Linked DNA regions of Drosophila melanogaster. The protein of the gene in region 2 interacts with the protein of the main gene of each other region in a pairwise test. Each region holds a gene or a part of one and is shown on either strand. Other genes may lie near its edges. The genes, in order: CG9933 and dnk.

Region 1 (4,400 bases), on a different chromosome or scaffold from region 2:
ACCCGCAACACCGGAAAAAATGATACTGGTCAATGCCCAGACGGGCAAAGTCATTTCCAGAAAGTAGGCCACATCCAAGGGTCGAACCTTTTATTTAATTTAATCCATAATTTATCCAACTAAGCTTATGGTTATTTTTCGATTTAAGTGAGTTTTGGTTTTGTTAATATTTTGTTGTTGCTTATGCTTTTCCATATTTTTTTTTGGGTATGCGTTAGTGGAGTTGGGGATTCGTTTTAGGCACCTGTTTTGGGATTTCTATTGTCACTAACACACACCCACTTATACACACCTAGTTGGAACATGTTCCTGCACTTTTACGTTTTTTCTAGAACCTAAGGTAATTAAGTAACGATAATTTATAAACAAAAAAGGAATGAAATACCATTATTCGAATACTTTGCAAATGGGATAAGCCGGAATTCTTAATGTAATTACTTGCTAGAACGGTGCAAAATGTAATTTAAACTAATCGTATTGTAACTTATCAAAGAGATAACTATAGAAGGCATTTTAATATAGAACCTATATATATATATTTACCATCGGCTTAATATATTAAATTGGAAAACCAACCCAATCCGAGCAAGATCCAAAAGCGTTTCAAGGAAATCAACTTTGTACAGGAGAAAAAGAGATAAATTCAAAATTATGTCTTGCTACAAATAATTCGTTTAATTTTTCGAATGGGAACTGTGATTATTGATAATTGTAAATGCAAAAAAAAAAAGAAATAAGAAAGTGAGCGCGTATATCATGCAATGAATATGGTACTATATACATACTATATAAATCTATACATATATATATATTTACACACAGCTGCTGCAAAAATAAAAACTATAGAAACAAAAAGAAACACATTTAAAATGCAATTGAAAAATCAACAGAGAATAGGGAATTTTTTGCAATATTTGCAATATTATTTTGTACAAGTGCAGCACACATTTAAAATTAGTTAATAGTAATTAGTTTCTACTACGGATTAGTTATGTTCTCATCATTAGTGCGAATGTTTTCCAGCAAACGGCGTCTTTGTAGCACAGTGTAGGCGTTAACACTACAAACAAAATGTTATCATTAAACTATAAGCAAACAAAAAGAACACATGTGGAATAGCGGGGCCATATTTAAATAGTTTAAACTTAATGCAAGGAAACATTTGAAAACAAAGCAAATCAAAACCAGAAGATATAGCGCAAACAAGCGATATGTATACAGAATCTAACTTGGATATAAATGCAAACCGCCTTTGATATGCATATATACATCTTATATCGATACGAATATCTATACACACAATATATTATATATTAAATAGTCCTTAACATTGAACTACATTTAAACTTAAAGCTAGTGTAAATAACTTAGTTTTGTTTACTGCGCACACAACCACACGCAACACTTACACACACCACACAAACACACAATAAGATTTACGGCATTGAATTACAAAAGAGAAAATGTACAAAAACAATTGTTAATAAAGAAATCAAATAAAAACAACACAAGTTGCATTTACAATTGACCGATTATCTGTATGTTTGGTACTTCTATTTAAAAAAGAAATCGAATAATTGGGTTCAGATCTAAACGCCAAAAGTAGTTTCTAAAAATTCAAATCATAATGCAAAATAGTTCATTGACTTCTATTAAATTGAAAGCACTTCAACATTTTTCTTTTTTCTTTACTGAAATCAAACATCAAAATCAAGCATTCTTTTTTAACGGAATTTTAATTTGAAAGGTAGCCTGCGTAACGGTATAGCGGTATATCAATTTAAAAGTGACTTTCAAGATACGGCAACTCTGTGAAACGATTGAATGTGGAACAAAAGATTATTTTACTCTTTTTCTTTTAATTAAAGAAAAAATAATAATAATCAAAAAGGGATATGCAATGCTATTCCAGATTACTCTTACTGAGATACTTAAATAATAACTCTCCAAATAATCAAAAGAGCCAAAGAAAATATAAAATCATATATACTATTTAGCTCCCTGTTGCAATTCCAATCGTTTCACAATCGCTGCCAAGTCAGCTACGCAAATTTGAGGGTATATTTCATAGTTGTCGGTACGGTAACACTGAGAAAGCCGTTTTGTTGAAAGATTACAAATGAATTGCGATGCATTTAGCTAAAATTGAACTTTAGCAGAGCCGCAAAACGATAGAGAGCCAACGCAGAGAACACGGAGCCACCCAAACACATGGATACCAAGTCCAATGATGACTCGGCTGGCAGTGACTCGCTGGACAAATCTATGCAAATCAAGTGTGTGATGGTGGAGACAACGACGACGGGCGACGGAGACTCCACAGTCGGAGATCTGGACAACTGCAGCAGGGATTCCGCTGCGGAATCGATTAACAAGGAATCCGGTTCGATGGAGGGAGCCGGCAAGCAGACGGATCACAAGACTGAAGCTGCGGCGGGGTCGTGCGGCGAGGGCGACAGTCCGCAGAGCAGTCAATCCCCACCAGAACATCCGGCCAGCAAATCGCCCACATCTCCATGCACTGCCTTCGAGACGAAAGTCAAGCTTATATCACAGAACCTCAAGGAAACCACGCTGGCGGAGAGCACCGGCGCCTCCGTATCAGCATCCACATCCACATCAACACCCACGTCCGCCTCTAGTAGCATCAGCGGCAGCATGCTGGAGTCGCAGCAGACACCCAGCCAGTCCACCCCCGAAACAACAGATTCCGCCTCGTCGTCCGTGCGCGTGAAGAAGGTACGCTTCCATCCGGACGTCAAGGAAAACGACGGCGGGAACTGGATGAAAAGAAAGCGACGCTCCATGCATACCAAACGAACCTCCTCGCCCAGCGGCGCTAACTGTGATGGCATGGAGCTGGACGGTGAGTACGAGGACAACGATGACGATGAGCAGGAGGAGGCGGAGGAGGAGTTCGATCTGGCCAAGACAATCGCCGAGGCGGAGGATTACCTCAAGCAGCACCCGTTGACATACGTGCAGCGCGTCGAACAGAACGGCGAGCGGCTGCAGGATGGACTGCTCAGCATCGAGGATATGCTAAACGAAGTCGGCGAGGAGGTGGTCACCGAGTACAACGACGAGGACTTCTTCAGACGCATCAAGCCCGAGAATGGCATTGAACGCATTCTGGGCAAGGAGACCAAGGCGGGAAAGGTACGTTTGCAATACGAAAGCAATAAACTATCAGTACGGTTTAGGGTTCACAAATTTTCTATGAATTCGATTACAGTTTCATTTACAACACATTGTTGGTTTATTCATATCATATTTAGTAAACAAAAATTCTAAGCTGGAAAAGGTTTGCTATATGACTTTTGCTTTTACAAAATAAATAAGCCAAAGATCAGCTTTCTTTACTTTGTAAAGCGAAGGAAAACTTTTAAACAGTCTGAATCTTATGTAGTTTGCCCTCTATCCCAATTGTAGGTATCATTTAATAACCTTAATATCCTTGCAGGTTGAATTCCTTCTGCGCTACGAGAACCAAGGCGGACTCTTCTGGCAATCGGAGGAGTTCATCAAGCGCACGTGCCCCTCGCTGCTCAAGGCCTACGAAATGAATCGAGAACGACGTCAGCAGCGCTTGGTTAGTCCTTATCCTAATTAAAACCACATATAATGCCAGTTTGTAATTCAAATGCTTGTGTTTTGCAGATGCATCACGTTGCCAAAAGGCAGAGTCTGCGACAGCGATACACGGATTTCTAGTAGCGGTTACTTAGGTATTAGGTTCATAATTAGGTTCCACATAATTGTAACATTTTTGTAAAATGAAGTAAATGATTTTCTTTTGTTGAACAAAAATAACTAAACAACACTTGCTTTTCATTATGTGTCATGAGGAATATAACCATTTTGGTAGGCCTAATTTTTGATTTCCCATCGTTAATCAGTTCGCACCTAGTAATTCAGCGATATTTAAATATTTTCAAACGACAAACAAACAATAGTTTCAGATATTTTCAAACTAGTTCTCTTAGAGCAAAAAGGATATATAAATTGGGTATAGATGCTTAGAGAACATTATTGCAATTAAAGGCAAAAACAAAAGTGCAAATTTAAAATTACAAATAGTATTCAAATGATTCACAACTTTTCGGATGTTTAACGAAATTTTAAATTCGATAATGAAATCATAAAAATATGAGGGCCCTGCAAGGGTTAAAGCAACTATCGGCGAACATTCCATCTTTAAGTGTGACCACGCCGCGGCCAGTGTGACTGTCGGCCACCAGACCAAACTGAAACACTGTTCGTCGACTGACGCGAAACCCAAAAATTATAAGTAATTCAATTGGAGGAAAGTTCGGAGGTCTGTATTTCTTGAGCCCATCGCCTGGCCAGTGAAGCATTTGTGTCGATATACGGATCGCATTCGGGCGATCCCCACATAG
Region 2 (4,249 bases):
GGAATGCCCTATATGCCTCCACTGATGAACCCCATGATGGGCATGCGTCCGCCACCGATTATGAATCCCATGGCCATGATGGGACCACCGCCTCCACTGGGCACTATACCCGGCGTCCGTCCAGGAATCATGAACGGACCCAAGTGAACGCCCTCAGGAACGGCATCAACGTTCACAGCACAGATGGAGTGCTCTCCTTGCGATGTCCTAATTAAGCTGTAGCATTTAAGTAAGCCCGATAGCGAAAACAATTAATTATATACATTTATATAAAGCAAGTTGACTCAACAAATGGTTGTCTTTGTGGGTGGAAGTCAATAGAGAAATAAAGTATATATATTTAGGTCAGTAATGAGAAGCGCATGCAGTCACATTAGAGTTCAGCAGGCATAAGATCACGCCGCTTTTACGGTGCACACATTATTATGACTTTAAAAAACCCCGCTTCAGAAAAAGATAACAAAAATCAATGCTAGAGAAGGCATTTAATGATTTCATTGTCCAACACAATATAGTTAAAATGCAAGTGAACTGAAATGCTAACACAAAAATAGTAGGTGCCTTGCCTTTAACATAAACATTCACAGTTTTTATTACAATATTTTGAGCTTACATACTAGTTGCTGTGAAGAGAATATAATGTGGATTATAATTGTTAATATACGAATGTGTTAATCATTGGCTCGAAGTGTAAGTTTCTGCCTTTGTCCCGCGAATCGGCTCGTCTAGGCCTCTTATAATATTATTTTAAACGTCTGTACTACACACAATTAGGTACTAATGGGATAATGGTTATCTGGCGACCCTCTGGCGCTTGCTGGGCGACACCAGAACCGGCGAGGGCTGTTGGTTACTTGAGATGGCGTCGAATATGCTGCTCTCCGAGCGCTGGTACTCGGTGCCAATGTTTTCCAGGTTCAGATCGGCATCGAGGACTAGGACCTGAGGAAAAATGCATATTTAGCGGCTTCGGTAGATGTGAGCTTGTGTAGAAACTACCTTGCACGACTGCGGTCGTCTCTGGTGTATCAACCAGTCCTCGTGCAACTCATGCAGCTCCTGAAGGTACTTAAGCGGCACGCAGCTCTCCTCAGAACGAGCCCGCTGCCGGATGCGTTCGTACGCCACCTCCGGCGAGGTGCGCAGATATATGATGAGGTCCGCCTGCACGTGAATGGACTCTTCGATGAACTTGTACCACTCCTCCAGCGTATTGTACATGCCCTGCTCCAGCGAGCCGTTTCGTCGCATGTTCTCCACGAAGCAATAGCTGCGGCGCGATGGGTAATGGATAAGTTTCGTTTAGCGTTTCTGGTCAAACCGGACGACGGGAATAATGCACTCACCGAGCGCTAAAAATGGAGCGCTCCATTATTTTTAGCTTCTTGTTGGTTGGGGCGGTGTGCGACTGCAGCATGGTCAGCGTGACATAACTCTGAAAGGGCATGGCCCACTTCTTGGGATCTTTGTACATCAGCTCCAGCAGATTTACCCCGTTGACGTTGCGCCACTTCTCGACGGGCTCGGTCAGCAGGCAAATGTCGTTCTTGTACTTCTCGAAGTGGTTCAAATACGTGGTCTTCCCGCTGCCGATGTTGCCCTCGATGAGGACGGTGAAGGGCTGGGTGCCCTCGGCGTACTTGGTCCCCTTTCGGGCACAGGATGCTGCCTCCGCCATCAGTCCGGATAATCGGCGATCTGCACGTGAGATTGGGAGTTTTACTAACTGTTTTAGGTACAGCACAGCAGCAACGGATCGCGGTTGAAGTTGATTGTTCCGGATTCGATGGAGTACTGTACACGGCGGCGGGAATATGGTGACTGATTCAACCCGCCTGGTCAGATCGTTTACCGCCGAAAAACAAAAAGAGCGGGAACATCGCCATTTGTTTCTTTTTTTTTTAATCGGTGTTACCTATCGTTATGCTTGTTTTTGTCAACCGGCTGATCGGTAACTGTGTGTGTGTGTGTGTGTGTGTCTATTCTATTGCCGGTAATGTTTTTACATACATCTTTACAAAAACTTAAAGTTTAAGCCAATGCTGGTTGAATTACCTATTAATGATATAATGTTTTTCTGCCACATGTGCTTGCTGGACATTGCTGTTTTTACAAATTTATTAAATACAAATACCACTGATAGCAATAAAATTAAACATTTATTGCTCACAACTTTTATGGCCTCTTATTTATTTTATTTAACGTTGTGAAATGAATTTTCTTTTTGCCTATACTGAGAATCAGCTGTCGGCGATAACGATAACGGTCAGCTGTTCTGTGCATAGTATCTGTTTTTCGCCATCCCTACGACGACGCATTTTTTATCAATATTATTGTACATTTTTATAAACCTGTATTAAAACTTATTTTTAAAAGGAATCTTAAACCGGGAAATTAGTTTACGATGTCCATAGAAATCGAATCAGCGGAGTAAGTACTGTAAATCGACCAACACCACTCAGTTTTTACTAGATCCGTGATTTCCCCCCCAAACAAAGTGTGATTCGGCTCATCCAGCAGTATCTGAAGGAGTCCAACCTTATGAAGACCCTGCAAACGTTACAGGTTAGTACTTACACACCGCGGAGAGAGTTTGTCTTTCAATGATCTTAAACTTTCAGGAGGAAACGGGTGTCTCCCTGAATACGGTGGACAGCGTGGATGGCTTTGTGCAGGATATCTCCAACGGGCACTGGGACACCGTGCTAAAAGTGACCCAGTCTCTCAAATTACCGGATAAGAAGCTGCTCAATCTATACGAGCAAATAGTCTTGGAGCTGATCGAGCTCAGAGAACTGGGCGCAGCAAGATCTCTGCTCCGCCAGACGGATCCCATGACCATGTTGAAGCAGCAGGAGCCCGAACGATACATCCATTTGGGTAAAATATAAGCCATTCTAAGGTTTCACTAGAGTTCGTGATTCCTAATTGGTATATTTGTCTGTAGAAAACATGCTGCAGCGCGCTTACTTCGATCCCAGGGAAGCCTATGCAGAGGGAAGTAGCAAGGAAAAGCGGCGCACGGTCATTGCCCAAGAGCTAAGTGGCGAGGTGCATGTGGTGCCCTCCTCCAGGCTCTTGGCACTCCTGGGACAGGCTCTTAAATGGCAACAGCACCAGGGACTCCTTCCGCCCGGCACCACCATTGATTTGTTCCGCGGCAAGGCGGCGATGAAGGACCAGGAAGAAGAAATGTATCCCACCCAGCTGTTCCGACAAATCAAATTTGGCCAAAAGTCGCACGTTGAGTGCGCTCAGTTCTCGCCGGATGGTCAGTATCTGATAACGGGCAGTGTGGACGGTTTCCTTGAGGTGTGGAACTTTACCACCGGCAAGGTGAGAAAGGATCTGAAGTACCAGGCGCAGGACCAGTTCATGATGATGGAACAGGCGGTGCTGGCGTTGAACTTCTCACGAGATTCCGAGATGGTGGCATCGGGCGCACAGGATGGCCAAATCAAGGTGTGGCGCATCATCACCGGTCAGTGTTTGCGTAAATTCGAGAAAGCCCACACCAAGGGAATAACCTGTCTGCAGTTCTCGCGAGATAACAGCCAGGTACTCAGCGCATCCTTCGACTACACGGTGAGACTGCACGGGCTGAAGTCGGGAAAGATGCTGAAGGAGTTCAAGGGGCATTCCTCCTTTGTGAACGAAGCCACCTTTACGCCTGACGGACACAGCGTGCTCAGCGCATCTTCCGACGGCACAGTAAAGGTTTGGTCCCTTAAAACGACCGAGTGCGTGGCCACGTACAAGCCCCTTGGCAACGAGTTGGCCGTAAACACAGTCCTCATTCTGCCCAAGAATCCCGAACACTTCATTGTCTGCAACAGATCCAATACGGTTGTCATTATGAACATGCAGGGCCAGATTGTGCGATCCTTCTCGTCGGGTAAGCGCGAGGGCGGTGCCTTTATCTCAGCCACTCTTTCGCCGCGAGGAGAGTTCATATACTGCGCTGGAGAGGATCAGGTGCTTTACTGTTTCTCCGTCTCCTCCGGTAAACTTGAACGTACTTTGAACGTAAGCTGCTCTTTAAACTATTTGTTTTCAAACTGACTTTAAACGTGATATTTATTCCATAGGTTCATGAAAAGGACGTCATTGGCCTGACACATCATCCGCATCAAAATCTACTGGCCAGCTACAGTGAGGACGGCCTGCTGAAGCTTTGGAAGCCTTAGACCATATAAGCAATTGACTTTCACACCTAGTTAGTTTTAGTTGGTGGTCTTATTTGAGCTGC

What was found.
Region 1: the proteins of dnk (region 2) and CG9933 interact in a two-hybrid assay, tested with the Drosophila melanogaster proteins (one large-scale study listed by BioGRID).

The regions. Positions count from the first base shown.
Region 1 is NT_033779.5:13,018,990-13,023,389, reverse strand, and holds CG9933 (uncharacterized protein), read left to right. Parts: upstream 1-2,077; 5' UTR 2,078-2,211; coding exon 2,212-3,159; intron 3,160-3,463; coding exon 3,464-3,592; intron 3,593-3,660; coding exon 3,661-3,714; 3' UTR 3,715-3,815; downstream 3,816-4,400. Other genes in the region: CG9932 (uncharacterized protein), read left to right, coding at 1-67.
Region 2 is NT_033777.3:18,979,001-18,983,249, reverse strand, and holds dnk (deoxyribonucleoside kinase), read right to left. Parts: upstream 2,256-4,249; 5' UTR 2,056-2,255; intron 1,994-2,055; exon of another isoform or gene 1,926-1,993; intron 1,827-1,925; exon of another isoform or gene 1,699-1,826; 5' UTR 1,679-1,698; coding exon 1,347-1,678; intron 1,271-1,346; coding exon 1,000-1,270; intron 943-999; coding exon 793-942; 3' UTR 501-792; downstream 1-500. Other genes in the region: snRNP-U1-C (small ribonucleoprotein particle U1 subunit C), read left to right, coding at 1-147; Smu1 spliceosomal factor, read left to right, coding at 2,405-2,430, 2,499-2,565, 2,622-2,880, 2,948-4,026, 4,089-4,187. UniProt on the Drosophila melanogaster protein: Deoxyribonucleoside kinase that has a broad specificity phosphorylating thymidine, 2'-deoxyriboadenosine, 2'-deoxyribocytidine and 2'-deoxyriboguanosine. Specificity is higher for pyrimidine nucleosides.